Callithrix jacchus: one gene and its partners. The protein of the gene in region 2 interacts with the protein of the main gene of each other region in a biochemical or structural test. Links are inferred from orthologs where the notes say so. Each region holds a gene or a part of one and is shown on either strand. Other genes may lie near its edges. The genes, in order: XIAP, HTRA2, CSN2, MAPK12 and LATS1.

Region 1 (5,741 bases), on a different chromosome or scaffold from region 2:
GTTATTGTGGGCCAGGTGGTCCAGTCTGGGCAACAAGACTAACAATCCGTCTCAAAAAAAAAAATTATTAAAGTTATTATGGGCTAGGTGTGGTAGCTCATGCATGTAATCCAAGCACCATGGAAGGCCGAGATGGGCAGATCATGAGGTCAGGAGATTGAGACCATCCTGGTCTTGGTGAAATCCCAAAGAAGAGAAGGGAGGGGAGGAGAGAAGAGGGGAGGGGAGGGGAGGGAAGGAGAGGAGAGGGGAGGGGAGAGGAGGGGAGGAGAGGGGAGGGGAGGGGAGGAAAGAAAGGAAGGGAGGGAGGGAAAAGGAAAGGAAAAAAAGAAAAAGAAAAGAAAAAAAAATTGTGAAGCTTAGAGAAAATGCATGAAGTATACATACTGTGCACATATAATAGGTGCTCAATAAATCAAAGTATTTTATTGGACCCATTTTGTTATTGGAGATGTCTACCATCTTTTGCATGTTATTACTTCCTAAAAACAATTACATGAAGAGAAATGTGACTCATAATATGGTAGTCTTTTTCACATAAGTTCAGTAGTTACGTTACAGGTTCAACATAAGAGTTCACAGAATAAGATGAATATAGGTATAATCATGCCAAATTATACCTAAATATTTACCAGTTCAGGGGGCTAAAGGCATCTATTTACTTTTTAGGAGCCCTGGCATAGTTGGGAAGTCATTTATTGGTTTTATAATGAAGTTTACCTAAAGCATAAAATCCAGCTCTTGCAAGCTGCTCCTTGTTAACTGAGTATATCCACGTCCCAAAAGTAATGATCCGTGCTTCATAATCTGCCATGGATGGATTTCTTGGAAGATTTGTTGAATTTGGGTAATTCCTATCAGAACTCACAGGATCAGATTCACTTCGGATGTTAAGATTGCGGCCCAAAACAAAGAAGCAATTAGGAAAGTGTCGCCTGTGTTCTGACCAGGCACGATCACAAGGTTCCCAATTTTTCAGTTTTCCTCCACAACAAAAGCACTGCACTTGGTCATCAATACCTGTGTAGTAGAGTCCAGCACTCGCTAACTCTCTTGGGGTTAGGTGGGCATAGTCTGGCCAGTTCTGAAAGGACTTCAGTCTAGCTTCTTCACTATACATGGCAGGGTTCCTCGGGTATATGGTGTCTGATATATCTACAACCTGCCCAGTTCTCAAAAGATAGTCTGCATGTGTCTCAGATGGCCTGTCTAAAGCAAAATGATTTCTGCTTCCCAGATAGTTTTCAACTTTGTACTGACCATTCTGGATACCAGGATTTGTAGGTTGCGTGGCACTATTTTCAAAATAAAAGCCGTTGATAAATCTGCAATTTGGGGATACTTTCCTGTGTCTTCCAATTGCTGAGTCTCCATATTGCCATCTATCTACGGCTGCATGACAACTAAAGCACCGCACGGTATCTCCTTCACCAGTATAAAGAAACCCTGCTCTTGCCAGTGTTGATGCTGAAACAAGACTACTACTTGGAAAATTAGCAAAAGTGTTTAATCTATTAAACTCTTCTACAAATTCTTCATCCTTATTGATGTCTGCAGGTACACAAGTTTTAGATCCTTCAAAACTGTTAAAAGTCATCTTCTCTTGAAAATAGGACTTGTCCACCTTTTCTAAAAAGAGAACATTATATTAGGAAATCCAAAATGTGAAACATAAGCAATAGACTTTTGTTACTAGGAGCTAACAAATTATCCACTTAGGACATAAAAATAATGACACGACCTCTAAGAAATATTCTAATTCTAAATACTAGAGTTCAACATTACCACATAATTCAAGTCATAAAGTAAAATCTAGCATTTTCGTTTTCTCTTTTTGAGGAAAGTAATATTTAAGCAGGTAGAATAAAACTAATAATTTTTAAATGCTTATTTTACATAAATATGGAACTGTGAAGCAGAATATATTATAATTATTAACCATGTCAAATAATTAATTAGGAAAAACATAAAAGAAGCATAAAATATGGAGATTATTAAAGTCTGTGCATAATTGTTATAATGAATCATTGTATATTCAAGGCATCAAAATTCAGTTTTTACAAATTAAAAAATGTTCAGAATGTTAATGAATTAATTTTTAATATTTCTTTGCTTAGCAAAATATGTTTTTATTTATTTATTTATTTTATTTATTAAGATCCTCATTGTATGCTACCTGGATGACTCATACAAGTATCCATGGTGAGGGTCTCTTCTGATTAAAGAAGATGGAATTGAAGCAAAATATGTTTTAATCATAATGCTGGTTCCAATGTGTTCTTTAAGAGTATCAAATATTTCTGATTTTCATGCATGAACAAGAGCTCATTTTTTGTTGGAACTGGATAATTCCAGATATATATATAATACCGCCCTCTACAGGGTGGCTCAGGAAAAATTCTAAGTACTTAGAAACCTTAATTGCTATTACTGGGTTTTTTTGTTTTTTTTTTTTCCCCCATGATCCAGCCCTTGGGAGGTCCTGGGAACATGTGCCCTGCAGTTACTTTTACTATTAACTTCCCTTGGTCAAGGAACAATCTGTTCAAATGGAAGATAAGTATCATTGCAGTCTTATTAGAGCTGCCAATTTACAGCTGTGTAATGTTTAACCCAGATAAAATGCTAAAGGGAACCCATTAGGTTATGAGAAGGGTGGCAAGATAATTTACGTTCCAAACCTGGACACTTCTCAAAGCGAAAAATTACACTAGTAATAATCACACTGGGACAACAGGCATAAATCAGGGTTGCCCCAGGCAAACTAGAGCATATGGCATCCCTAGCTATGAGGCAAACCTGGTTCTTCAGAATCTCCCGAATTGCCTGATAACATACTCAATATAAACTTGTCAAACACAAAATCAGAGAATGGACACAATAACTTTGTCTCTATATTGTATGTGCATAATTGATTTCTTGGCAAGAATTAGCCAGCTCTTTTGCCTTTATGTTGACACAATATGTCTCAGAATTTAATCTCTCTTGGAGAAATGTTCAACACAAAGCAAGCTGGCAGTGGACATCAGTCTTTCCTGGCCATGTGAATTTATCATGGTATTAACTCATATACCTCAAGAGCTGAGTTATATCTGCATACAACTTTTGGAATATGGTCTCCACGACTTTCTTTTTTGAAACAGAGTCTCGCTTTGTTACCCATGCTGGAGTGCAGTGGTGAGATCTTGGCTCACTGCAACATCCACCTCCCAGGTTCAAGCGATTCTCCTGCCTCAGTCTCCCGAGTAGCTGGGATCACAGGTACCCACCACCACACCTGGCTAATTTTTTGTATTTTTAGTAGACACATGGTTTCATCATGTTGGCCGGGCTGTGAGTCAGTAAAATTACTTGAACCCAAGAGGTGGAGGCTGTAGTGAGCCGAGATTGTGCCACTGCACCCCAGCCTGGGTGACAGAGCAAGCATCTCAAAAACGGGGGAAAAAAAAATTGATGGGGCCTGGTGGTACATGCCTGTAATCCCAGCTACTCAGGAGGCTGAGGCAGGAGAATCGCTTGGACCTGGGATGCAGAGGTTGCAGTGAGCAGAGATCACACCATTACACTCCAGCCTGGGCAACAAGAGCAAAAGTCTGTCTCAAAAAAAAAAAAAAATCTGTGGCCAGGCATAGTGGCTCACACCTGTAATCCAAGCACTTTGGAGGCCAAGGCGGGCGGATCACCTGAGATCGGGAGTTCAAGACCAGCCTGACCAACATGGTGAAACCCTGTCTTTTTTTAAAAAAAAAAAAAATCTGTAACATAGCTAAAAGAAGATGGAGACGTGGTTTAAAAAGAAGTCACATAAAGGCAATCCTCCAGATTAAAACCTTGGGATTTTAATTACTTACAAAGTCATCATGAGCCAACACTACAAGTATACAAAAAACAGCAACTTCAAGCTGCAGTAGTGTCCAGATGTGCAACATCCAGATCCAATTCAGCTACCAAGGGATACTATTTCCAGTTCCAAATAGATTTTGGAAGGGATATTAACCAAGTTTAATGTCCTTAGGGAGCTATCAGGATGATGAAAATGTTATCATATGAGAAATAGTTGGAATGGCAAAGGATATTTATCCCAAAGGTTGTTAAAATTGTGAGGGGAAGGGTAGAGAGGACAGAATTACTACCTTAAGATATCTAAAAGGTTATCACGTAGAAAAGAGATTCAAATTTTGTATAGCTTGAGGGCAGAATTAAGATCAATAAATACAATTATAAACAGTAGATTATAACCCAAAGATCAGCTTTATAACAATTGATAGTAGCACAAAATGAATTGGGTTGCCTTGTAAATTATGAGTTCCTCTTATCACTGGAAGGAACTTCGGCATGGACTAGGAGACTGGATTAAACATTTTCAAGTCTATAATTATCCTGAAGAATTAACGTTCAGTATAATTCAAAACACATGAGAATTATCTTCTCTGAGGTGTTAAATTTTATTTCAAGTCAATCAAAATAGATATAAGTTGCCAGGCACAGTGGCTCACACCTGTAATCCCAACACTTTGGGAGGCTGAGGTTCGTGGATCACTTGGAGTAAAGACTTCAAGACCAGCCTGGCCAACATGGTGAAACCCCACTTCTACCAAAAAATACAAAAATTAGCCAGGCGTGGTGGCACACAGGAGGCTACTTGGAAGGCTGAGGGAGGAGAATCACCTGAACCTGGGAAGCGGAGGTTGCAGTGAGCTGAGATGGCGCCACTGCACTCCAGCCTGGGTGACAGAATGAGACTTGATCTCAAAAAAAAAAAAAGAAAGAAAAAGGTATAGGCCAGGCACGGTGGCTCACGCCTATATCCCAGCACTTTGGGAGGCCGAAGCGGTCAGATCATGAGGTCAAGAGATCGAGACCATCCTGGCCAACATGGTGAAAGCCCGTCTCTACTAAAAATACAAAAAATTAGCTGGGCATGGTGGCACATGTGCTGTAATCCCAGTACTCAGGAGGCTGAGGCAGGAGAACTGCCTGAACCCAGGAGGCGGAGGTTGTAGTGAGCCGAGATCGTGCCATTGCATTCCAGTCTGGGTAACAAGAGCGAAACTCTGTCTCAAAAGAAAAAAGAAAAAGAAAAAAAGAGTGAAAGGTGGAAGGATGACTGATGAAAGACAGAAACCTTGGGTTTGAAGGAAGGCACCAAACAAAAAGGGCAAGATAGGGTAAAAATATATATATAGGATCTAAGTGAAATGGAGGTTGGGAAAATGACACCACAGAAAACAAGTATATATGGGGCAGAGGAATTGTGAGTATAGAAGAAAATAGGGTATGAATATTGGACAAGGGTGACAAAAAGGCTTTTAATGTGAAAAGGTGTGGGTGTGATAAAGAATGCTGGGATAATTTAAGGCTCTCTGTGAAAGCATCTTCAGGCTTTGTACCGGGTAAGCGGAAAGGCAGGAAGGCACAGAAAGAGAACAGTGTCAAAGAAAGCTTTTGGCATAAAGGGGCTGGGCAGTCAGGAATCTTAAGGGGAACAGTGGTTGAAAAAATAGCACTAGGGAAGCCAAAAATGGGACAAAAGTGTCCAGCAAACAATGGTACATGTCTAAATGAAGGGTTTGGAAGATTCTACAATGGTGATATGTGAGGGTTTACAGTATACATGTACATATACACATTTAGTCCAGTCAACTGTATAAAGAGAGCCACCAAGAGGTACCAAGGAGAGGAGGTCAACTGCTAACCCAGTGAGAATGTGGAAATATGGGACTGAGGCATGCAGAGACAAA
Region 2 (6,167 bases):
AAGCTAGTTTCTGCCTGGAAGACACTGAGTGTCAGGAGGGTGAGTAGGGGCCTGAAGTGGACTACATGGTGTCCATTGCATAGCCTTTCCTTAGACTGACACATGCTAATCCCTCCAGATGTCTCCAAGAGGTATGAGTGTGCCAACTTTGGAGAGCAAGGCATCACCGTGGGTTGCTGGGATCTCTACCGGCATGACATTGACTGTCAATGGATTGACATCACAGATGTGAAGCCAGGAAACTACATTCTCCAGGTACCTGGAGTCTGGGGCTTCCAGATGGATTAGTGGGAGAAGTGTTAAAGTCACTTTTGGATTTGAGGATTGTCACTGGGTTAAGTGACCTTTCTCTCGCTTACAGGTAGTCATCAACCCAAATTTTGAAGTAGCAGAGAGTGACTTCACCAACAATGCAATGAAATGTAACTGCAAATATGATGGACATCGTATCTGGGTGCACAACTGCCACATCGGTATTTGATGGGAAGAGCAACCCAGGAAGATTAGGGGATGGGAGGGAGAAACGTTCATTCTCTTTTTATGTAACTTGTTTCTGTATCTTTCCACCCTCCTCTGGAGCTCTCAGTCCCTCTACTTCTACCTACCCTTCCCCACAGTGGGTCTCTCTGCCTCCCTCTGTGCAGGGCACCTCCCAAATTGCCTGTCCAATCTGCAGGTGATGCCTTCAGTGAAGAGGCCAACAGGAGGTTTGAGCGCTACCCTGGCCAGACCAGCAACCAGATTATCTAAGTGCTACCACCCTCTGCAAACCACCACTGGCCCTTAATGGCAGGGGTCTGAGGCTGCCATTACCTCAGGAGCTTACCAAGGAACCCATGTCAGCAACCGCACTCATTGGACCATGCACTATGGATGTGGAACTGTCAAGCAGAAGTTATCACCCTCCTTCAGAGGCCAGCTGTCAGTATCTGTGGCCAAGCATGGGGAATCTTTGCTCCCAGGCCCAGCGCCGAGCAGAGCACACCACACCAGAAAGAGCACCACCTGACTAACTGCCCACAACAAAAGATGGCAACAGCTCATTGTCTTGAATAGGAAGGTCAGGTTGGTCAGCTCCAGTATCTCCCCTAAGTTTAGGAGGATACAGCTTTACCTCTAGCCTTTTGGTGGGGGAAAAGATCCAGCCCTCCCACCTCATTTTTGACTATAATATGTTGCTAGGTATAATTTTATTTTATATAAAAAGTGTTTCTGTGATTCTTCAGAGCCCAGGAATCAGTGCTGGTGGTTAGAGGGACCTGCCCCCACTGGTTCATTTAACCCTCTGTCCCGGCACCCTCAGAGCCTCAGCCAGGAAGGCAGGAAGAAATCAGAGTAGGAGCCTCATACTCTTGCTGATCTGTTCATTCTGTGATCTCAGGGGTCACATATAAGGTCAGTGTTTCTCGTCCCCGCCGGATCCGCAATGCCATCTTGGGTTGGGTTCTAACAGCTTCATAAATATCTTCAGCACTACGTGCCACCTTGTCCCCAATAGCCAAAATCACATCACCAGGCCGCAGGCCAGCCCTACAGAGAAAAACAGACAGAGAGAAAGGAAGGAATAGAAAGCCCAGTTCAAGGACACATGCACACCTCGCCCATCCCCATCTCACACTGAAGCCTCTCCCTCACCGGTGTGCAGGGGAGCCCAGGATGACTTTATGGATGAGTACACCATACCGAACATCGGGAAACCTTGGATCTCGAAGCTGTAGTTCAGCAAGGATGCTGAAAGTACACAGATCACCCTATTAGCCAAACCTAGGCATTCTCCCCATCCTGAGTTCACCTCAACTCTCTCATCGACACATTGACAAAGGTATGCACTAGGTACCTAGTGACAGGACATGCACTAGGTACTACAAAATACAATGGCCACTCACTTTCTGTCTTCTAGCAGTTAAGAGCAACATGTACATAAAAGATGTACACCACATGAGGGCACCAAATGACAAACAGTGTTAATAGCACTAATGTCACTCTAAATGCTAAGAGAAGCTTTAAGGAGAAAGAAACTGAGCCTAAAAGGATGGATGTGATATTAACCATATAAAACAAGAACAGCATAAATAAAACAGCATGGGAGAAGGAAATCAAGTTGGCTGAGTATACATATAAGAAGGTATAACAGCCAGGTCTAGAAAGTTGATTTACAGACAGATGGAAAATGGCCCTTAAATGCCAAGTTAATGGATTGAAGGCTTGAAATCAAAGCAGTAACAGGATGAAATCAATCTGGTGACAGGTGTGCAAAGTGGAGTGGGATAAGAAAGTCAAGATGATGAAGGGGGACAGCTCTTGTGATTGTTCCAAGTGTGATGCAGCTCATTTTAGATAACGAGAGAAATGAGAATAAAGCTCAACAGAGGTACCAGAGGCCCACCTCTGATTACACTGGTTACATTACATGTCACTATCCCTAAAGCTCATACCTGGGAGTCAGGGTCAGCATCATCACCCCAATATAGCAGTGTCGGGACCCATTGATTCCACACGAGGAATCTGTGACAGAGGGACAAATGAGTCCCACCCAGCGACATCCTTCCCCTACCCTCCTCTCCCAGTAGACCACCCTCCAGCAAGTCCCAATGAATGCCCCTCACCTATTTCCCACCCACCATTTTAAAGGAACCCATTTCCCCATAAGCCAGGCTCACTTTCCTGTTCCCCACGACGCAGAAATTCTCGAAGGCGATCAGAAGGGATAGCAAAGGAGATTCCAGCTGTGACCTTCATGGTGTTCACTCCAATCACTTCTCCATCCTGCAGGGACACAGCCCCCTGTTCCCTAGCCCAAACAGATAGTAGGGGATGGGGGCACCTGAACAAAAGTAGCATCAAGTGTTGGGGAAATCTGGTTGGATGTTGAGAGATAGCCAATAAAGAACTGCTCAGAAACTTGACCAAACATCTTTGAATTAGGGAAAAACCACCCTTCCCACACTGACCTGGGGCAGGGATTCTTGGAAGGAAGGATGTCCCACTCACCAGGTTAACCAGGGGACCTCCAGAGTTTCCAAACTGCAGAACAAGGACAAAACATGAAAGAGATCTGGGGATTCTAAGTCTGGGGGCATACCAGGATGTAGGTGCTTTCTCCAAATTCTCTTCTTTCTCAGCCCATGAATGAGTGGCCACATTTTTGCAGCCTAAGGTCTGTATACAGTGTCATCCAACATGTATCAGTTGGTGCTTGTACCACAAAGCCTCTTCCCCCTCCCCCATCATTTGTCATTTCTTTCCTGTCAGGACGCACATCAATAGCTGCATCAGTCTGAATGTATTCCACATTGGTTTGGGGGAGTCCCAGGTCTCTGGCTGGACGCTGAGCAGAGCTAACAATGCCGGATGTGATCGTGTTCTGCAGTGCAAACGGACTTCCCATGGCAACAACAAACTCCCCTTGCCGGACCTCAGATGAGCATCCAAGAGGCAACGTGGGGAGAGGATCCTAAGGGAGAATGGGTATAAGAGACCTGTCATCTGGAGATGCAAGCAAATAAGCGGCTCCAACCAGAACTGGCCTACCCCAGCCCCTACCTTAGTCTGAATCCTCAGAGTTGCGATGTCTGCCACAGGATCCACAGCTGTGACGATGGCCTCATACGTGTCGCCGCTAAGCAGTCTCACACGGACTTTGCGCCGATCAGCCACCACATGGGCGTTGGTGACAATGAGCCCATCGGCAGCCACCACGAATCCTGAGCCGTTTGAGATAGGGATTTCGCGGCCCGAGAAAGGGTGCCTGGAATGGAGGGAAAGCACGGGTAAGAGGAGGCTCTGACCCCTCCTACCCGCCCGCCCTCCGGCCCGTGGCTTCACAGCCTCCGGGTCTACCCCTACCATTACCGGTCCAGGATCTCGATATAGACAACGGCAGGTGCTGTCTTCTCCACCACATCTGCAATGAAGTTGTACTGACTCCGGGGAGAGGTGGGAGGCGGGCCAGAGACTTCGGCGAGGACGGCCGGAGGACCCCGACCCCCGCCCCACAACAACAACAGCACTGCCCCGCCGGCGCCCAGCGCCACCGCCAGCCACGCGCGCGAACGGCTTCCAGAGTTCCCAGAGGCCTCCTGGGTCCTGATATCTGGGGTCCCCTCAGTCAGTTGTTCCCGGGGACCCGGGGTCCCAGACGTCAGACGTACTCGGGGTTCAGGGACCCCAACAGACAACCGGGCCCGGAGACTGGGGGTCCCATAAGTCACTCGGGCCCGGGGGTCAGAAGTTCCTGACGTCAGCAGAGCCCGGAGGTCAGGGGTCAACAGGGGTCTCTTCCCCCAGCGAAAACCCCCCAAAGCCCGCCATGCCCGGAGGATCCAGCCTGCACCCCGCCCCGCCCTCAGCGCAGCCATCAGCTCCGCCTCGGCTGCCTCCTCGCCCGCCCTACTCAGAGGCGGCACCCAGGACGCGAGCAAGCGGACAGTAGGACGCAGGGCACGCTGGTACTTGAAGTCCTCCAGAAGTGCACGCCGGAACCAGGATTCCGGGAGGCCGCCTCTCCGCATCCCGCGAATGCCGGGAATTGTGGTTTCCGCGAGACCCGAGTTGTGAGATGGGCCAAGGAGCCGCGGGGCATGCTGGGAGTGCTAGCCCTTCCGGGGCGCCTCAGGACTTCAGGTCCACTCACCTCGGGCGGATACCCAAAGACTCCGCCTTCCCAGGAGCCCTTGCGGCCGGGCGCGAAGATGGCGGCAACGACGGCCGGGCGCTCCTGAAGCTGCAGGAATGGAGCTTCCCTCAGCCCCGGGGCCGGAGAGGCTCTTTGACTCTCACCGGTAAGAGCCCCGGCGAGAAGAGGCCGATCCTCGCGTCCTCTTGGCCTTCGGTGCCCGACCACTTCGCCTCTCGCCCCCAGGCTCCCGGGTGACGGCTTTCTGTTGCTCGCGCTGCTGCTCTACGCGCCGGTTGGCTTCTGCCTCCTCGTCCTGCGCCTCTTTCTCGGGATCCACGTCTTCCTGGTCAGCTGCGCGCTACCAGACAGCGTCCTTCGCAGGTTCTGACGCAGGCGTTTGGGTAGTGTCAGGGCTGGGCCTGGCCCGAAGACACACAATCACCACCTCCTGTGTCCCCAGGTTCGTAGTGCGGACCATGTGTGCGCTGCTGGGGCTCGTGGCCCGGCAGGAGGACTCTGGACTCCGGGATCACAGCGTCAGGGTTCTCATTTCCAACCACGTGACACCTTTCGACCACAACATAGTCAATCTACTCACCACCTGTAGCACCGTGAGTGAGAGCGAGGCCGAGAGCGCCACGGGGCGGTTCCCTGGGGCCCAGCTGAAGGCCCCCAGGCCCCATTCGCGTTCCCCATGGAGGATATTGACCCTTACCCCTAACCCTGATCCTCCACCCCACATGTCAGTTTTTCTCATTTTCCTCAATTTTTTTTCATCTTGCTTTCTCTTCTCCTGGTTCCCAGCCTCTACTCAATAGTCCCCCCAGCTTTGTGTGCTGGTCTCGGGGCTTCATGGAGATGGATGGGCGGGGGGAGTTGGTGGAGTCACTCAAGAGATTCTGTGCTTCCACGAGGCTTCCCCCCACCCCTCTGCTGCTATTCCCTGAGGAAGAGGCCACCAATGGCCGGGAGGGGCTCCTGCGTTTCAGGTGGGTTTAGCACAGGTATCGGGTGGTCAAGCTTGTGGGCCCTTGAGTTTTTACAACCTTCTTCAGCCCTTAGCCCCCAACATCTCTAGTTCATTTCCTTTCTGTCTACTTTTCTTTCTCCTGAATCCCTTCATTCTTCAATTATCTACTTGTAGAGTTTGATAGTTGCCTGTTTTAAGGCAGGTATGAGCTACTGACTAGGCTGGCTGGATTCCCATCCTACTTTCTCTTTCCTCTTCTAGTTCCTGGCCATTTTCTATCCAGGACGTAGTACAACCTCTTACCCTGCAAGTTCAGAGACCCCTGGTCTCTGTGGTGAGTGTGTGTTGAACAGGGAATCTTGGGGCTCGGAGGGGAAGTTTCCCATCCCAGGCCCTGGCTTAGGCCTCACTTCATGCCCTCCCCTCAGACGGTGTCAGATGCCTCCTGGGTCTCAGAACTCCTGTGGTCACTTTTCGTCCCTTTCACGGTGTATCAAGTAAGGTATTAACTGCCCTCACATTTTGGTCACTGGGGAGAGGTTCATCTCAAGGTCAAGGAAGTAGTGGCCTCTGCCCTGT
Region 3 (6,407 bases), on a different chromosome or scaffold from region 2:
ATGGTTTCAAAGTCAAAACTCCAAAACTAGGTACATTCAGAGAAATCTAGCATTCTTCTATCTCTATTTTTTCCCTCCTCCTAAAAGACCACTATTTTAATTTGTTTTCCATTTGTCTTTCACTACTTCTTTATTAAAGTATAAGCAAAACAAAAAGCACAATTTAGCAAAGTTACATACATATATGTATATTTATATGTCAATGTATATATAATTTTCAAATTACTGTTAAGTTAGGTACACATTATATACATGGAAATATGGCATATACGTCAATCACAATCCCTCATTAAAAAAAAAAAATCTCTGGGTAGGCATTGGCATTGGGTTTTGCAAGGGAATATTTCTCCAGGAGATTCTATTGCATAGGTAAGCATTAAGGATCACTTAACTAAACTTTTTTTAAAATTCATTTACTGTACATTTATTCTTTCATTCTACCATCACATACACATCTTAAATGAAACAGCAAAGTCAGTAAATTTGGACTTACACTAATGGGCTTATGAACTGGGACAATTGGCTGAGTCACAGGGTAGATCTGGCGGGTGGGGTCCAGTAAAAGTTCTTGATTGACCAAAAAGGCTGCATCAGGCATATCTCTCTGAGGGTAGGGCACCACTTGCTGAGGGATGGGCTGGACTTTGGGCTGAGAAACAGGCCACAGGGGCTGAGTAGGGAGCGCAAGAGTCTGAGGAGGAAGCGCAAGAGTCTGAGGAGGGAGCGCAAGAGTTTGAGGAATAGGCTGAGGGACCTGGTGCATCAAGGGCTGGAACAGAGGCAGAGGAAGATGCAGGTTTTCAGGAGCAGTGAGTTTCAGGAGTTGAGGGTCAAAAACGGGCATCGTTGGAGATTTAAGGATGGGCATCATTCTGCCCTTAGTATAGACAGTGTCTTTAGCTTTAGAGACTTGCATTATTTCAGGATGAGGGACAGGCAGCACCACAGCAGGCTGAGCAAGAGGCAGAATGTTTTGTGGAAGGAAAGGGTAGGGGATAGGCTCAACGTATGGATAGATTAGAGGCTGTGGCTGCAAAGACGAATGGATTTTATCCTGGTGTTCCTCCTGGAAAGAAGGAAAAAGAATCGTTGAAGTCCTTGATTCAGCTATAATTGCCATTCATAATGAAGTGATTTCTCTCTTTTAGACAGTGATAAGTGAGTAAAAAGGGAGGAAGAAAATCTTTCACTTATTTTGATTAAGAAATTATCTTGAGTCATGTGAAGAAAAATGAGTAAAATGTTTGTTTAAAGATTTTAATCCACTCACTTTATGAGTAACTACACAGGCCAAAGTGATATCAGTGCTTGGATATTTCAGAAACATTTCGTTCACCTTTTCCTGAATTGCCTGGATAGCTGTAGCTGTACGCGTTGGTCTTCAGAGAGCATTTACTTTTTAACACAGTTGTACCAGTAATAGACCAAATTCTTTTCATATAGTGAAAAGAGATTGATTTAAAAAGACTTAAAAGGACAATTTCAAGGTTTATTTTTATTTTGGTTTGGTTTAATGAAAAAAAAAATCAGTCTTAATTTGTGGCTAATCTCAGGAAGTAGTTTAACAGGGACCAAATTCTTGCGTTTCTTCCCTTGGGAGAAGATAGTTTTCTTGAGTCTTTCAAGAGACATCGATATTTTTACTTAAATTTGATTTTAAAAATAATTTATGTGAGCACCAAACAATTCACTGACACACAAAGCAACTGAAAATTATAACTAGGTAAATACATCAAGATAAATGTAATTTAATGAAATCCAGGATTTTGTGTTTTCCTTAAGGGAATAAAGGCAATATGGCACTAATTCTACACAGATTTTTTACCAGCTGTATACACCCTTTCATTACCATACCCACCTTGAGAATAAGAGAATCATAGTTAGCAACCTGAAAATATTCCCACTAATGTGAACTTACTGAAAACAGATATACCATTAGTAATATCATTATGTATTTAGTCTATATTCTAGAAATTATGTTTCAAAATGCATGCATATCCTGGAAAACATATTGACTTTATCAATGTTTAATTTTTTACAGGGGTTGCTGGGCATATGGCATTTATTTTATTATCATTCTTTAGAATCAACATATCCATTATAAATAGTTTTTTACATATTATACTTTATAATAACTTTAGAAATATACTTATCAGGAATAAATTACCTCTCTTTGCTGCTGTTCCTCATGGTGAACCTCCTCAACTTTCTGTTAAAAATAAATCATATATAAAGATAAGTTACCATCTGTAAAAATTAAACAGGAAATTTTGAAAATATGTACATTTTAAATGAAAATTTACCTTGTATTGTGTCATGGATTCCTACAGAAAAATATAAAATAAAATCAGGTTTAGTTTTAGTAATTCTTACTTTGAAATATAAATCAGGAAATAAAGGCATAATTGTTTGATAAAAGTAATCATTTTGTGTAATCATTAAACCTTATGTGTTACACTGTTCTATGTAAGCTTGTTATATAAAAGAAAGTCAGATGAATGCAGTCAAGAAGGTCATTGTACAAAAAAAAATTGATACTAATTTCCCTCTACTACCATGCTCATTCCCTGACAAGAAATGATCTCTAAAACTCGATCTGATTTTTTAAAAAAGAAAATACTCATTGAAAATAGATTTCAATAACAATTGATACATTATGTTAATCACTTTTAGTTTCTTCAAATTAAGCATAAGAACTAAACACTTCCCTTAAGGATCATATAACCTTTCTGAAGAGACCATGTGTTGATGTATCATTTACTTATCAAGTGATCACACACCCAAGAGGAGTGGTGTAAGAACAAATAGCTACCTGACTCTCTCCAGTAGATTTAGGTCTACACTATGCTACTTCTTACAAAGTGACTATATTGTAATTATAAAATGTGTCCTTTTGCATTTCTGCCTACCTACTACTTTGCAAGCTCTTAATTATCACTGGCATCTCCATCATTTCAGTTTCTACCACAGTTCCTAATCAATGTCTAACCCATAGAAGGCCCTCAATAAATATTTAAGGTGAATGAGTTCAGAGTAAAGAGAGTTCAATACAAAAAACACTTGAAAAAAAAAAAAAGGAAGCAAAATGACACAATTTCAAGTATCAGGCCAATTCAGAAAGTTCTACATTGTTGTACTATCCAGATATTTATTGTCCTTAAACATATATAAAGGAAATATAGACCAGAACTTCTATGTCATTAACATAGCTGCATTAGCATAACTGCCATGATGTAATGTCATAGACAGATAGCACAGGATTTTACTGTTCTAAAATTGGGTAGAATGTTATCTTACCTCACTGCTTGAAAGGTTTTCTACAGTCTGTGGAAAAAAAAAATGACAACCAGCCAAGTCTTCTAGATAATTAGAGATTTTTACTATTATGGTTCATAAATCTTCTCTGAAAAAATATCTTACCTCTGAGTATGCACTGGGTACTTCCTTCTGAAAAGATTTTTAAAAGTTTAGTCTCCATAGCTAGCTCGTTGTTAAACATATATACTCCCTAATTTTTACATCATTTATGCAGAGCTATCTCTTTCAAAAATTTGATAAATTAAAAAATGTTATACAACTTTTGAGGCTTGAAAGGTAATTGCTTTAATGTTTTTTATGTTAGTCATTTCTATTAATATATTTTATCTTACATTTATTAAAGACAGTTTTTGATGGGTAACAGAAAAATAGTCACTTCAATTTGTATTACATACTTTTCATTATACTACTATAAATATATTTATGATCATGATTACGATTATGTCTGTACTTTATTCTATCAATGTCTTTGTATAGACGGACACAAGATTTGATCCAGTGCCTTAGGGTACAAGACATATATATTTTTATCACTGGAATAATATATTTATCTAGATTGAGCATGTGTGCAATTGTATTTATTACCATTTTATCATTTGTTGTACTACTTAGTGATTTGTTTGCTTTTTCTTTAGTGACTAGCAGCACATTGGTATAGGAAGCATTTGAAGCCCTATGGGAAACTGTTGACACACTGGGTAAATATAAATGATTTTGGTAGAAGCCAAGGTAATTCTCATGAAATTCTTCATTATTTATACAGTAAAAAAATGTTGGTAATGTTATTCTCTACCAATAGGCATATAGTGCACTATTTTTTGATTGTTTAGGAACTTTTTATTGTGCACATACCTCCCTTGCAAGAGCAAGAGCCACCAGGCAGGTGAGGATGATGATCTTCATGGCTACTAAGTCCTGTGAATGGAGAAAAAATGGATTGGTCAATTGGATGTATTTTCTTATTTAGGTAAGGTTACTTTTTCTTCAAAGAAGAGATAATGTATAACAAAAATGTCTGCATTTTAGAAAACAAATAGAATAAATAATAAATAGAAGTTATATGACTAAGGTCAAAATATATTATGGCTTGCTACTATCATTTATCAAATTCCAAACTTCATTACTAGCTACTCAGATTTGTCACCTAACAACTCCAACCTCACTTTTATAAAAAGTCCCATTTACAGTATTGAATTTTTAAAAAGGCATAAAGAAGTTATAAACACATATGGAAAGATATGTTCATTAATTTTAAAATATTTCTTAAGAATCTATTCTTGCCAGACACTGTCTAGGAAACTGGACTGCAAGAATGAACAAAACAAAGTCTCAGCCCTCATGGAGCCTCAGTTCTACTGGAAGAGACTGATCAAGAAAATGTGTACAAAAAAGTCACATTTTATTTTTATCTTTTTTTCACCAGATGGTTATCATGAATATTTAATCTAATTATTTCTCCTCATTTCCAATAAGACTGACATTTTCATTTTAACATTTTCCTTATTTGTGTCACTATCCAGAGATTTTGTTGGATTATGAAGTTTGATTCTGCTCCATTTATACCCACTGTGCAGTCTTCTTCCCCGCATAGCTAATAATGTCTGTTCTTTCTCTTTTATGCCACATGACTTTAGAGATTATACATTAGGCTGCTTCTTTTCTCTGTATTAAAATATACATGCAGGTTTCTTGATGCTCTACCAAGAGGTCAGAGTCTCTTTCACACTGCCAAGCTTGAGACTACCTCTTCTTGCAAAATATATGTTAACATTTTGGACCAAAATATACCAAACTGTCTCCTAATCATGTGTTCTTACATTTTTTTATAATTAATTTCAAAATAATGTTTGTGCCACAATATGACTTGACATTCACTCTTCATTCTCACCTTTTTGAAACTCAATTTTTAAGCTAAAAATATTTCATGAAAAATGTCTCTAACTTATTTGAAAAGTGTTCTTTTTAATATTGGAAGGTTGATCATAATTCTATCTATTATGGAAAATAAATATTTTTTCTAGATTTTTATGAAAGTTAAATAATTCTTTATTAATTTTATTTGCCTGAGATCTCCATAAATTTCCAAATTTTTTATCTCATGGTTCAGAAAAAGAATACAGCACTCTATTATATATCATTACACACTGAGAAGATCCCAGAGCATTTTCTATATTTTCTGAGTAGCATTTTATGTACTGATTTTGAAGCCAGAGCTTCATTATCAACTGGTATTCTCTAAGCTACTTTTTCTTCTATATTGTCTATTATCTTTGTTTATGGTTTCCAAGTCTTCTCTACCCCATTAAGAATTTTCTTACAAAGCAAACCACGTTGTTTCTTTTTAACTTAATTCTGTATTTCTGTCTCATTTTAATATTGTTTTGAAATATTATAAACTAGATAATAAACTGGGAATTTTGAGGCTCTAGACAAGTTTGATGAGTAAACTCTTCTAAGAACATTGTTAATAAACACAAAGTAGTAAATGTCCCCAAACCATCACCTCCATTTTTTGACTCAGTATGCTACCACTGTAAACTACATTTTGGACAAAGCTTTTCCAGTAATTGTCTACCCGTACTATAATTCAAGCATATTTCTTTTTATGATTGTGATATGCTAAATCAAATTGGAAAAATAATTCAAAAATTAAATATCCTCTTAATATTAACTATTAACTAGCCTCATACTAAATATATATATATATATATATGCATAAAATTAGTTATTACATTTTCTTAAACTCACGAAGGCTATATGTCATTGCAATTTTTTTTTACCAAATTTTTCTGGACACTTCTATCTTTTTTAGCCAAAGCGTAGAAAATAATTTTAGTACTACCTTAAATATTTATTTCAAACACTATATTTTAAGCAACTGTGTTCTTTCTATAGCTCAAGCTACTTTGAAATAAATGATTAGGAGAAGATACAAGAAATTAGTATCTACAATTATTACCTTTTCCCCAAGATTGAAGAGAAGTGAAGGCAGTGCCGGATGGATTATGGTCTATCAGCTTCTGTGGCTGTTTATATACTATATTAAATGACATGCTAATTTTGTGGTTTGAAATGAGAGCAATAGTGAG
Region 4 (6,486 bases), on a different chromosome or scaffold from region 2:
ACACGTAGATGTGGACTTGGATTCCGACACTCCTGTCCCAGCACCCTGGCCCACTCTCTACCTCTGCCCACCGTGTGGCCCTGCAGCCAGAGATCGGAGGTGCTCTGGTCTGCGGGTTAGTCATCCTCTTTCCTTGTCCCAGGATGGAGCTGATCCAATAACCCTGGAAGATGGGACCCTGCTCAGAGCTGAGTTGGGAGTGTGGCTTTGCCCTGGAAAGGCGGTGACCTCTTGCCTTGAGGGGCCCAGGAAAGCCTGGGTGTCAAGTGCCTGCACCAGGGGTGCACAATAAAGGGGGTTCTCTCTTGCTCGGCTCATATCCAAAGGCCACTACAGGCCCTGCTGCTGGGGGTGGGGGAAGTGTCTGGGTCACCCTTCATCACTTGTCTCCAGCTGGCCAGATCCCTCAGTCTCTCAGTCAGACAAGCAGCCATCTTCTGGCACCCTCCCTGCTCCCCGGAGGGTCTGAGAGCCCAGGGGGACCAAGAGAAGACATGGCTGATGGGTGGGCTCTGTGCATAGGGTGTGACAGCCACCCAGATGGTGACCCCAGCTGCCCTATGGGGATGTACTGGGCAGGCTTGGCTTCTGGCCAAGATCCAGACCCCACCCCCCACAGTGGTCAGGGAGGCTGGCTGGGGAGTAGTTGGGTGTCTCAGGGAGTAAGGGTCTGCCCATCCCTGGTGGGGTGGGGCTGGGCAGGGTAAGGAAAATAGCTTTCCTTTCCTTTCTGTTGAAGATTAAAGAGCCCACTTTAATCTGAGGGATGTATGCGATAGTCCCATTCCCACTATACACGGTAGTTTACTGTGGGGGAGGGTCCAGGCCATGCTGGGTCAGGCAGCATCTCTGGGGGCCAGGGACAGCCTGTGCCCCTTGCCTGGGTCTTGGATGGGGGGTGGAAATCATCTGGGAGTTGGGGGCCTCCTGGGGCCTAGTCAGTGTAGTGTTCAGTCCTGGGGAAGTCCAGTGTTGGGGTGTGGGGGAGCAGAATGGGGACACAGCCCCACCTCAGATGCCTGGTCTGTGTGGGGCCTGCTGGACCCCTGAGCCCCACCATGAGGAGTGAGGGGGACAGCAGTGGAAGCAGGGCTTCCTGGAAGACGTGGATGGAGTGCCACAGGCAGCCCAGGGCACAAAGGTTGCAGGCCACAGCCAGTTGTGGTTTGGGTAGCCCCGGGCTACCCCGGCTCACTGGTCACCAGCTGGTGAATGCCGCAGACAGCCGGAAGCCCAGGTGTAAAGCTACTCCCACCCTTGAGCGGCTGAGCTGCTGATTCATGGCAGGAGGGCGGGCGGGGGGCCCTAGGGAACTTGTTACCCACCAACCCAGTGGGTTCCAGGGGTGCACCCCCCATCCTTCCTGAGACCCAGATCACTGGGCTGGGGAAGGGGTGTCAGGGTGGGGCTTTTCACTCTGAAGCATCTGGTCCAGGATGGAGCCAGACCGATGGGAGGATGATGCCCACACGGAGGGGACAGGCTGAGGGCCCAGCAGGTCCTCGTCCCTGTAGGAGAGAGTGCAGCCATGAGCTTTGCAGGACGGAACAGGCAGGGGTGGGACAGGCAGATGCACTGACACTTGCAATGCGTGGAACAAGCACCCCACAGAGGAGAGAAGGGGAGGAGCTGGGGGTGCAGGAGGGCCCACGGGGACCTATGGGACTGGGAGGCCCAGGGTCAGTGGCCACAGCAGTGGGGTTGGGCATGCAGCTTGAGGAGTCTGGGAGACAGGGACGCAGGCAGGACAGGTGCAGGTGGACCCCACGTGCGGGGACAATGGTCAGGCACAGCGGCAGGGTATCCTTGGGGGTGAACCTGGGAACACAGGGCTCAGCCCAGGGAACTCAGGGCAGGGGGACAGTGACTTGCAGCTGCAGACCCAAGTCGGTTCTCAGGCTGTCACGGATGGGCCTGGAACTGTGGGGAGTAAGGACTGGAGCCCGGCGGGGATCCTGCTGAGAACGCCCCTCCTCACCCCCCAAGGCAGGGAAGTTCAGCCAAAGGGCAGAGGCTGGCATGGGTATCTCCGCGCCGCGTCCAGCCCTAGGTCCGGACAAAGCTGCGGGGCGGCGCTCCCCTCCCCCTGCGCTTCCCCCCAGGCTCCGGCCCTCCCCCGGCGGCGGCCGCCTCGGGTTTCCGGAGGGGCCGGAGGGCGGGCGAGGGCGTCACGTGCGCGCGGCCCGCGGGCCGGTTGGTCCCCGGGCGGGGGAGGGGCCGTGCGCTGCCTGGGTCGGGGCTGGGGTCGGGCAGGGGTTGGCACCTGGGACATCCCTGCGGGAAGAGCCGGGAGCAGGAGCGCCCCAGCGGCGGGCGGGCGGGCGGGCGGACAAGCCGCGCGGAGCGGGCCCGGGGCGCGCGCCGAGGGAGCCCCGCCGATCCCGGGTTACCGGTCCTGGGGGAACCGCCCGCGGGCTCTGCGGAGTGGGCGGCTCCCGGGCCTGCCATGAGCTCTCCGCCGCCCGCCCGCAGTGGCTTTTACCGCCAGGAGGTGACCAAGACGGCCTGGGAGGTGCGCGTCGTGTACCGGGACCTGCAGCCCGTGGGCTCGGGCGCCTATGGCGCGGTGTGGTGAGCGCGGGCCGGGTGGGGCGGCCGGCGGGGCGGGCGGGGCCTGCGCGGGGTGCCCGGCCTTCCCGCTAAGCGTGTGCCCCGCAGCTCCGCGGTGGACAGCCGCACCAGCGCCAAGGTGGCCATCAAGAAGCTGTACCGGCCCTTCCAGTCCGAGCTGTTCGCCAAGCGCGCCTACCGGGAGCTGCGCCTGCTCAAGCACATGCGCCACGAGAACGTGAGTCGCGCGGCCCCGCTCCGGGAAGGCGCCGCACCACGGCTCGGCTCGGCTTCCCCACCCAGCGACGCCCCCTCAGCAGGCGGCTGCGGGGCGGGGCGGGGACCGGGCCGTGGATCCCCAGGGGAGGAGGAGAGCAGGGCTCAGCCCCCGTCTTCTCTGCCAGCCCCGGGAAGGACTCACCCCCTCAACTCCGCGCCTCAGCCAGGCCCTGGTCAGGGGACACGAGTTGGCCAGGCTCAGGGATTCTCCAGCTCTCATGCCAAACCCTGCCCCCAGCCAGGAAGCCCGTGGTGAGAGGACGCTCCCAGTGGGCCGATTTTCCTGGAAGGGGCACCTCCCCTCTTTCCCATCCGGACCCCTCTCCAGCTCCTCTGTGGAGCCCACTCTGTTGCGGTCCATTTCCCGAGTCTTCTGACCCAGCGGGGGGCGAGGGGGGCGCGTCCAGAACGTAGGGAGTGTTGGACCCTCAGGAGCCCCTGGGGGTGCAGGGTGTAGGGAGCTGGGGTTTGGGGGCCACTGGGTGCGGTGGCCATCACACAGACACCCTCCCGTTCCTTGGGTGGTGGTGGGGGCCCATCCTTTCCAGCCCTGCCCATGAGATGCACAGCTGCCCTGGGCCTCTCTCATGGCTGTGGCTGGCTGTTGAAAGCCCTACCTTTCTGCCAGGGGCGCTCCCGTTTCTGGACACAGTTCCACTTGTTCACTGCCCCCCACGTCACTCCTGCCCTGCCATTTGAGCTCCTGGACCCTAGCTTCAGGGTCACACGCTCTGGACCCTCCTGGGTCATCCAAGCCACCAGCGCCCTGGGAGAACGAGTCCCTGCGTCCACCAGCAGACTGCCCCCACCACTCCCTCAGCCCTTGAGTGGGTGCTTTTCTCTGAGGCTTCCCATGCCCACCCTGACCCCAGCTCACCCCCCTGGCCCTGTGAAGCCCCTTTGTGGTGGACAGCAGTACCGCCGCCATCTCACCACCTCCCAAGTCACACCCAGGCCTTGTCCCAGGAGTGTACCCGCCCCCACCCTTGGTTTTATCCAGCTCCTCCCCTGCAGCCCCCTGGCCCCACCCACCCACTCACCTGTCTGTTCCTTGCCCCTGTCCAGCCAAGAGCCCCGGGCTTTTCTTTTTTCTCTGGAGACTTGTTGCCCAGGCTTGAGTGCAATGGTGAAATCTTGGCTCATCGAAACATCTGCCTCCCTGGTTCAAGCAACTCTCCTGCCTCAGCCTCCCAAGTAGCTGGGACTACAGGCACGCGCCACCACACCCAGCGGGGGATTTTGTATTTTTAGTAGAGCTGGGGTTTCACCATGTTAGGCTGGTCTGGAACTTCCAACCTCAGGTGATCCGCCCACCTTGGCCTCCCAGAGTGCTGGGATGACAGATGTGAGCCACCACGCCCAGCCACCAGGGCTTTTCTGTAGTCACTGCTCGCTGTGCCTGTGGGTCCACCCCCTGGGCTCCTGGCCTGCAGCTTCGGCTCTTCCCCTGGAACGCCATCATCCTGGGAGACTAAGGGTTTGCAAGGCCATGTGCCTTGCTCAGCTGGGGAGGAGGCTCTGGCACAGGCCCCAGTCCTGACGTTTCCAGGCGGGCCCCCATACCACAGAGGCCAAATCCATCCATCTGATGGCCCCAAGCCCACAGGACCCTGTTCTCCGTCGTGGGCTAAACCACTCTCCCAGGCACCCTCCAGCTCTCATGACTGCAGTCCCGGCTGCTCCCAGGCCTCCCTAGACCTCGCCCCACCCACCGTTCCTTCTCTTTCCACACTCTTGCCCTCAGCTCTGGCCCACGTGGCTACAGTGGAGCTGTCCTTCCAGCTTGTGCCCATTCTTGCCTCACTCCGGCTGGTCCCTATACCACAGCCAGGACACATTTAGCATCACACCCCTGTTTAAATCCTTCCCTGTCTCTTGGGATCAAAGCCAAACCTTCACCTGGTGTGTGCTTCCTGCCGGCTCCCTCTGGCCTCTCCTCAGCCCCTCCCTGGCCTGGGCCTCGGCCACCTGGCCTCCCTCCCTTTGTTCCTCAAACTCTCCCAGTGTTTTCCCTCCTGCCTCGGCTACTCTGTGTGTGCCCTCTGCCAGTTTCCCTCTGTCCACACGTCCACCTGCTCCTCTGTCCTTGGCTATGCAAAACTCCAGGCCTCTCTGGGACCCTGGAGGCCCTGTCACCCCAAAATGCTGAGGTGGCAGTTATCTTATGACCTGTCCACTGTCCGTCTCCCCAACCAGGGGCGTTGTGGGGACCAGGTCTGACTGGTCACGGTGCTGCCTGCCTGGGCCTCTCTCCCTATAGCGCTGTCCTCACCCTGGGCCTGGGTCTGCTTGGTTGGGGAGAAGATGGGAGAAAGGGTCAAGGGGCAGGAGCCCTTTGGATGGCAAGCCAGCCTAGGCTTGGGGTTGCCCCTCCCCCAGAAGATCCCGGCTGTCACCATCCAAAAATAACCTGTCTGTGGGTATGTGTGCCAGGGCTGGGCCACACTGCCAGTGGCCAGTGGGCAGAGCCAGGCCCTTTGGACAGTGGGGCATGACAACAACAGCTGCAGAGGGGGTTTTCTGCCCAGAGGGCTGTGCCACTCTTGGGGGGGTGCCCCAGCCCATGTCCTCTACGGCACCCTCAACCCTACCTGCCCTCCCCCCGCACCAGGTGATTGGGCTGCTGGACGTATTCACTCCTGATGAGACCCTGGATGACTTCACGGACTTGTGAGTGCTGACCTGGGCTGGCTGCCAGGCACAAGGGGTGTTGGGCAGCTCTGGGTACTGGCTTCAGGTTCTAGGTTGGCATGGGGCTCTCTTCCTGCAGGCTGAGTGGGGGATGCACATTGCCCAGCCCCTCCCCCACATGCTCCTGGGACCCACGGGCACTGGCACTGCCCAGCAGAGCTGGGGCTGCCGCCTCCCTCCAAGTCTGGCACCTGGGCCCTCTCCAGCACTGGAGGTGTGAACCTTGGACCTGAGCATTTGTTAACAGGAAGGTCCCGTGCCTGGGACCTTCCTGGCACCAAGTGTGTGGCCTGTAATGGGAGCTGCTGACCTTTTCCGACGGGTACAGGAGAAGCAGTAGGGAGGACCTGCCCTGCCCGTGCCCTGTAGCCGACCACCCTGAAACTCACACCTTGTCGGCCAAGAGTGAAGGTCCAGGCTGAGGAAGAGCTGGAGAAGGCAGCAGGCTCCTCTCGCCTGACTTGCAGAGGTCAAGGACCCACGCTGGCCTCAGTGGCCACTGAGAGGGGCTATACCATGCTTCTGTGTCTGTCCACCAGCCCAGCTGACCCCACTGACCCAGATGCCTTGTGAGCCCCTAACACCTCCAGGCACCTCCCTCGTCTCTGGCACAAAGTTCTGAAGTTGAAACCTGACTGCTTCCCTCCCCTGCCTGTGAAGACTTGAGCCCTGCTGCCTCCACCACGCAGCCTCAGCCCCTAGACTGGCACGCAGGGCACTCAGTGGAGGGTTCAAAAACCCCAAAGTGCATCCTCCACTCTGCCTGACAGTCCTCGGGGTGGGAGGGAGGTGTGAGCATTGCTGGCAGTGATGGGGTTGGGTCTGGATGGAGCCTGGCACTACAAGGTGCAGCTTCGAGGATGCCGAGGCCAGTGGGGATAGGTGCTGCAGGGGGATCTTCCCAGAGGCACTTGCTGGAGCGGGATGGGTCTGAGCCTGGGCCTGCTGGGTGGGCCTCCAGGATGC
Region 5 (5,741 bases), on a different chromosome or scaffold from region 2:
TGCCTATAATCCCAGCTATTCCTGAGGCATGAGAATCACTTGAATCCGGGAGGTGGAGGTTGCAGTCAGCTGAGATTGCACCACTGCACTCCAGCCTGGGCGAAAGAGCGAGACTCCATCAAAAAAAAGAAAAAGTTATTTGTCTGACATATTGACAAATAAAATGTAAAAGGAGTGACTAAAAAATGTTAATAATATTTAGTAACAGTCAAATCGAGTACATTCTTTTATTTTATAAGTCTAAGCACCTAAAGGATTCACCCAAGTTTATCCAACAGAATCAAGACCTGACCCGTCTTCTGGCTCTCATCCAATATCATCATCCTATATTTTACTATATCAATAAATTACATTATGAACAATCTACATTTTGAGTTTACTTACCACTCTGATAGTACTTAGAATCGTGTGTCCATCTGAAGCCAGTGCAGAGGCCAAAGTCAGTCAATTTAATATGACCATCACGATCAATCAAAATATTATCGGGTTTAATATCTCTATGAATAAAACCCATTTTATGAACACTTTCAACTGCACAGGTAAGTTCTGCTATGTAGAATCGTGCCAGGTTTTCTGGAAAGATGCCCATTCTAATTAATAGGCTCATCATATCACCCCCAGGAATGTAGTCCATTACAAAATATAAATTGTCTTTATCTTGGAATGAATAATATAGGCGAACCACCCATTCATTGTCAGCTTCAGCCAGGATATCTCTCTCAGCTTTAACATGAGCGACTTGATTTCGAAGCAGAACATCTTTCTTTCGAAGAGTTTTTGTTGCATACAAAGCCTTAGTATCTACTTTTCTTGCTAGACAGACTTCACCAAATGCTCCTACTCCTAGTGTCTTTATCTTCACAAACATAGACTTGTCCATTTTAGCCCTTTTAAGACGAATGTAATTAGATTCTTTTTGGCAAAGCATCTTTCTCATTTGATCCTGGGCATCCTGAGATAATCCAACCTAGGCAAATAAACTAGATGTTAAATAAGAATTATCTTCTTCAATATTAAATATTATGAAATAGCTTTGAAAAAATTCAGGCATATATTAAAGGTTAAATGCATCATAATTTTTAATAAAGCATGTTAGAAATCTAGAAAACATTTCAAAGGAAATTAATGATCAAAAGTGCAGCTTAAAAGGTAGTTAAAAGGATATTCAAAGTGAGTACATATGCAAATTCAGCTGTGGAGGGCAAGAAGAGGATACCAGAAGAATCAGCTTTCTACTCTTCACTAATGCACTCCGGAAAAAAAAAAAAAAAAAAAAAAAGGTTCTCAATGTGAAACAAGTATCTGTTAACATGCATCTTCATTTATCTCTGTTATATACTTATTTTAGTGTAATGCCTAGGCCTCAAATATCCTTCCTCCCATTTTATCTTTCATGAAAAAAAAAATTCTCCCACTCCAGGCTAATTTATTCTAAAAAATTAATGTACCAAGAACAACAAAACAATGCCTTTTCTAACCCACCAATCCTTGCCCATTCTCAATAAATATATAATAGTCATGAATAATCTTTCCTTTTCTCTTTTTCAGGGCATTAGAGTAAAGGTGTGACTCATGGCTCACCACTAACACAAATTGCAAAGGGTTTCTCCTACTTGTTTGTTTACAAGATATCCTTTGGGTATTTAGGAATATTTCAAAGAATAGTCAGTGTGACTCATGAAGATATCAAAAAATAGATTAAAAACAAAAACTAACTTCTAAGTATTATAGATATGGAATACCTGGATTTAGAAGGGAGAAATATTTAGGCTAATTAATAAAGAACTAATTAAAGGGTTTAAATAGAAAAGGAATTCAATTAGAAAAGTGAGGTCTAATTCTAGAAATGCAAGACTAAAATAGAGCAACCACATGCTTCTGTTAGGATTCACATTTTTGCAGGCAAAATCTTTTAAGAAGGGTGACGTGCCAGACTTAGTTCAGAACTGTTTCTCTCAAAATCTTACTTGCCTACACAGTAATGGAGACTACAGAAGTCAGCAAAGCTTCCAACACCATAAAAGTTTAAATCAGCTATTAGTGAAAGTGAAGAGGAAAAAGGAAAAATAAACTAAGAAAATACATACAAACAGACTTTAGTAAGAAATGCTAAGAACTAAAATATAGATAAGTCATAGAGATTATTATGGAATTTATCATTTAATAAAATGTAAAATGGAATAAAAATACTGTAAATCAGATTTGGAAAAATCATTTTATTTTTTGTTTTTAAATTATTTTGAGATGGAGTTTTGCTGTTGTTGCCCAGGCTGGAGTGCAATGGTGCAATCTGGGCTCACTGCAACCTCCGCCCCCCAGGTTCAAGTAATTCTCCTGCCTCAGCCTCCCAAGTAGCTGTGATTACAGGCATGTGCCACCATGCATGGCTAATTTTGTATTTTTAGTAGAGATGAGGGTTTCACTATGTTGGTCAGGCTGGTCTTGAATTCCTGACCTCAGGTGACCCGCCTACCTCAGCCTCCCAAAGTGCTGGGATTACAGGCCTGAGCCACCTTGCCTGGTGGGAAAATAATTTTAAAAAGAATGGTTCTCTCAAGTCATAAAGATGTTTAATCACAAGGTTAAGCCTCTTGAATTGTGAGTAACAGATGTAAGATTAGGAGTCAAATCTTTGAAATCTAAGCATCTGATAAAAACAATAATGATGACAATACCATCTTAATATCTAGTGAAGAGATCTAGGTGTAATGACAACATAATTTACATAGGTTTATTTACTCTGATCTCCCTTTAGTATAGTTTGACTTAATTTCAACACATTTTTCTCCAGTATATTATAAAAATGAAATCAGAAGGGAGAAATAACTGAAGAGAACTTCTTTGACACTTTCTAGTAAGATCTATGTGATCAATAAACCTATAAACTTCAAATTTTCTACAAGTAAAAAGAAATGTTTCATAAGTGTATCAGGAGATGAGACCTACATATTATTAGTTTATCTTTAAATGTTGTAAGATAAAGTATAAAACCTAGAAAACAACCCTTGCTTCAATTTCCATATAAAGTATTATGTACACCTAAACTGTATATCGCAAATTATATTTTTCTTAATTTATACAAGATTTTATTATGGGAAATTCTGAGTAAATCTTGAAATACTAAAATAAAATGGTTACAATCAAATGTACTTTAATATTTATTTACTTTTTAAATTCTGTAACTGATAATATATTGTATTAAGCTATAAAAAGAATGAAAAATACTGGAGCACAATATTTTAAAATAAACACCAAGTAAACAGATGATTAAGTATAAAAATGGACATTTTAAAAGGTTTTACCCGCATCATTTCATTCTCTAATTGTTTTTTACGATGTAGACGCTGCTGATGAGATTTCAGTACATTTTCCACATGTTGCTCCATAAAGAATTTAAATGCTTGAGGAGAGTAACTTTGAATACGAGATTCCCTTCGCTCTTCATCTTTCTTGTTTTTCCTAACAGTGATGGGTGAAGTTGTAATTTGTTTCTTTTCTTTATCCCCACTATCAACATTTTCATAACTCTTTTCACTCTCATCCTCCTTGGGCAAGCTTGGCTGATCCTCTTTGCTAGGCTTACTGATTGATTCATATGGAGGAACAGATGGGTTTTGGTGCAGCAGATGTTTTGGGTAGGGTGGTGGTGGTCCTTGATAATTTGGAGCTTCAGCAACAGGTGGCATCACAGTCACATTTGACGTGGTTCCCTCAGAAAAAGGACTGGGTTGAACAGTTTGAATTGGCTGTGGTATCCAAGAAGGGTGTGTAGGTGCTAAAGCAGTCTGTAGCTCTGGTTTTAATACACGCATGCTTTTCACAGGCTGTTGAATAGGAGCTGGTGTAATTGCAGTGACTGTTGTAGCAGAAGGCTGAGAATTAGCAGAGTGACTTGCTCTATTTCCCAATGGGTTGTTAAAAGAATTTGACCTCACTGGTATGTTAGGTTGCCAGGTAGGGATTTCATGCCCACTGCTTGGGGACGACTGGGCTGGAGCAGAGGATGACTGAGGCCAATTTGTTTGCAGTCCCGGCACATTAATGTTATACAGTTCCATGTTATGACTATTTCTGTTTGGCACCATCATAGACTGAGGAATATTTCCATTTATATATGATGAAGGAGCAGCAGATCCCCCTGTCTGTAAAGCAGAAGGGCTTTGTCCATTAGCTGCGGTCAGAGGATATGGAGGTGGCGGCTGCCGATTCACAGTGCCAGCAGGGACATTTTGGTGTATCATGAAATCAGTCTGTCCAGTACCATTCTGCATTCCAGGTCTCCCTGATGGAAAGTTAAATTTGCTAGAACTCTGCATGATGATTGGTTGTCTGCCAACAGGAACAGAACTAATGCCTCTCTGTCCCTGATTAGGAGGATTCATGGGGGAAGTGTTGAGAGGTGGTGGTGGATAGCCCTCTTGCCATGTCCCAGGTGGGACAGGAGAGATTCGGGAGATTACGTATTCCATGTTCCCAGAATAGCGCTTTGTTTGAGAGTTTGGTTCCCATGAAGGAGGAGGTGGAGTTGTACCTCTTGGAGGGGGAGTCTGGCCTCTTGGAGGTGGTGGAGGAGTGACACTCCTTACTTGAGGTGGTGGTAGGGGGTTCACTCTCTGTCCATTGCTAGGGTGAGCTTGAGCAAATGCTGTTATACCAGATCCAGACAAAGGTCTTCCTACATCTGCCTGTGAGCTGGGACTCTCAGAATGATAGGCCACACTTTCTCCTAGTGGTGGGCCATGTCTCTGAGGAACTAAGGATTCTTTAGAACCTTTCCAGCTCTGTTTGCGGTTAACTGATTGTTGCACATTCCCTATGGTCATAAGAGAGATAAAGAGAAAAAAGAATCATGTTTTTAACCTCTTATTGTTATTTAGCTCAATTTAGGAAAAAAATAGTTATAAAAATAAAATTTCAGTAAGTGTTTTCCTTTTATCTTTTAAAATTTTATTTATTTTTGACTGGGCACGGTATCTCACTCCTGGTCAAAGTTTCAGCACTTTGGGAGGCTGAGGTGGGTGGATTTCTTGAGCCCACCAGTTTGAGATCAGCCTGGGCAACATTCTACTAAAAACAAAAAAATGAGCCAGATATGGTGGCACGTGCCTCTAGTCCCAGCTACTAGGAAGGCTGAGGTTGGAAGATGGCTTGAACCTGGGAGGCAGAGGTTGCAGTGAACCAAGATCATGCCACTACACTCAAGCCTGGGAGATAGAATGAGACCCTGTCTCAAAAAAATAAAAGTATTCTTGATTGATGGCTCAAAATTCACAAAGTATAATATCATATCCACTTCTGTCCTTTAGCTGACCAATGCTCTTTAATAAGGTACTTCAGGGATATACAGATACAAGTTAGTACTAAATATCCTATATGTACTACTACAATGCCTAGCTTTTTTCTTTTCTTTTTTCTATTTACCACTATACTAACAAGGACTTTTCTCATTAAATAAAATGAAGATTCCATATCAGTATATAAAGTTATTTCCTCACTTTAAAAAAATTTTACCATGGCTGGGCACTGAGGAGGCCAAGGCAGTTGGATCACGAGCACAGGAGATCAAGACCATCCTGGCCAACATGTTAAAACCATCTCTACTAAAAATACAAAAATTAGCTGGGTGTGGTGGTGTGTGCCTGTAATCCCAGCCACTTGGGAGGCTGAGGCAGGAGAATCGCTTGAACCCAGGAGGCCAAAGCTGCAATGGGCTGAGACTGTGCCTCTGCACTCAAGCCTGG

The links.
Region 1: the proteins of HTRA2 (region 2) and XIAP form a complex in vitro, tested with the Homo sapiens proteins (10 studies listed by BioGRID and IntAct, with this or other methods). The link is inferred for Callithrix jacchus from reciprocal best matches to the Homo sapiens genes HTRA2 and XIAP.
Region 3: of the proteins of HTRA2 (region 2) and CSN2, one has a biochemical effect on the other in vitro, tested with the Homo sapiens proteins (2 studies listed by BioGRID). The link is inferred for Callithrix jacchus from reciprocal best matches to the Homo sapiens genes HTRA2 and CSN2.
Region 4: of the proteins of HTRA2 (region 2) and MAPK12, one has a biochemical effect on the other in vitro, tested with the Homo sapiens proteins (2 studies listed by BioGRID and IntAct, with this or other methods). The link is inferred for Callithrix jacchus from reciprocal best matches to the Homo sapiens genes HTRA2 and MAPK12.
Region 5: the proteins of HTRA2 (region 2) and LATS1 form a complex in vitro, tested with the Homo sapiens proteins (2 studies listed by BioGRID, with this or other methods). The link is inferred for Callithrix jacchus from reciprocal best matches to the Homo sapiens genes HTRA2 and LATS1.

What each region holds. Positions count from the first base shown.
Region 1 is NC_133524.1:119,623,159-119,628,899, reverse strand, and holds part of XIAP (E3 ubiquitin-protein ligase XIAP), read right to left. Parts: intron 1,630-5,741; exon of another isoform or gene 1,625-1,629; 5' UTR 1,598-1,624; coding exon 721-1,597; intron 1-720.
Region 2 is NC_133515.1:38,662,800-38,668,966, forward strand, and holds HTRA2 (serine protease HTRA2, mitochondrial), read right to left. Parts: upstream 4,366-6,167; 5' UTR 4,359-4,365; coding exon 3,853-4,358; intron 3,749-3,852; coding exon 3,544-3,748; intron 3,455-3,543; coding exon 3,260-3,454; intron 3,025-3,259; coding exon 2,992-3,024; intron 2,785-2,991; coding exon 2,661-2,784; intron 2,506-2,660; coding exon 2,436-2,505; intron 2,378-2,435; exon of another isoform or gene 1,732-2,377; coding exon 1,636-1,731; exon of another isoform or gene 1,531-1,635; coding exon 1,365-1,530; 3' UTR 1,174-1,364; downstream 1-1,173. Other genes in the region: LOXL3 (lysyl oxidase homolog 3), read left to right, coding at 1-39, 119-255, 362-473, 677-750; lipid droplet-regulating VLDL assembly factor AUP1, read left to right, coding at 4,559-4,781, 4,862-5,229, 5,423-5,607, 5,850-5,922, 6,017-6,090.
Region 3 is NC_133504.1:128,104,116-128,110,522, reverse strand, and holds the start of CSN2 (beta-casein), read right to left. Parts: upstream 4,222-6,407; coding exon 4,171-4,221; intron 3,325-4,170; coding exon 3,298-3,324; intron 2,325-3,297; coding exon 2,304-2,324; intron 2,210-2,303; coding exon 2,168-2,209; intron 1,067-2,167; coding exon 494-1,066; intron 1-493. UniProt on the Homo sapiens protein: Important role in determination of the surface properties of the casein micelles.
Region 4 is NC_133502.1:218,837,017-218,843,502, reverse strand, and holds the start of MAPK12 (mitogen-activated protein kinase 12), read left to right. Parts: upstream 1-2,258; 5' UTR 2,259-2,446; coding exon 2,447-2,571; intron 2,572-2,658; coding exon 2,659-2,788; intron 2,789-5,440; coding exon 5,441-5,499; intron 5,500-6,486. UniProt on the Homo sapiens protein: Serine/threonine kinase which acts as an essential component of the MAP kinase signal transduction pathway.
Region 5 is NC_133505.1:156,463,070-156,468,810, forward strand, and holds part of LATS1 (serine/threonine-protein kinase LATS1), read right to left. Parts: intron 4,814-5,741; coding exon 3,303-4,813; intron 968-3,302; coding exon 385-967; intron 1-384. UniProt on the Homo sapiens protein: Negative regulator of YAP1 in the Hippo signaling pathway that plays a pivotal role in organ size control and tumor suppression by restricting proliferation and promoting apoptosis.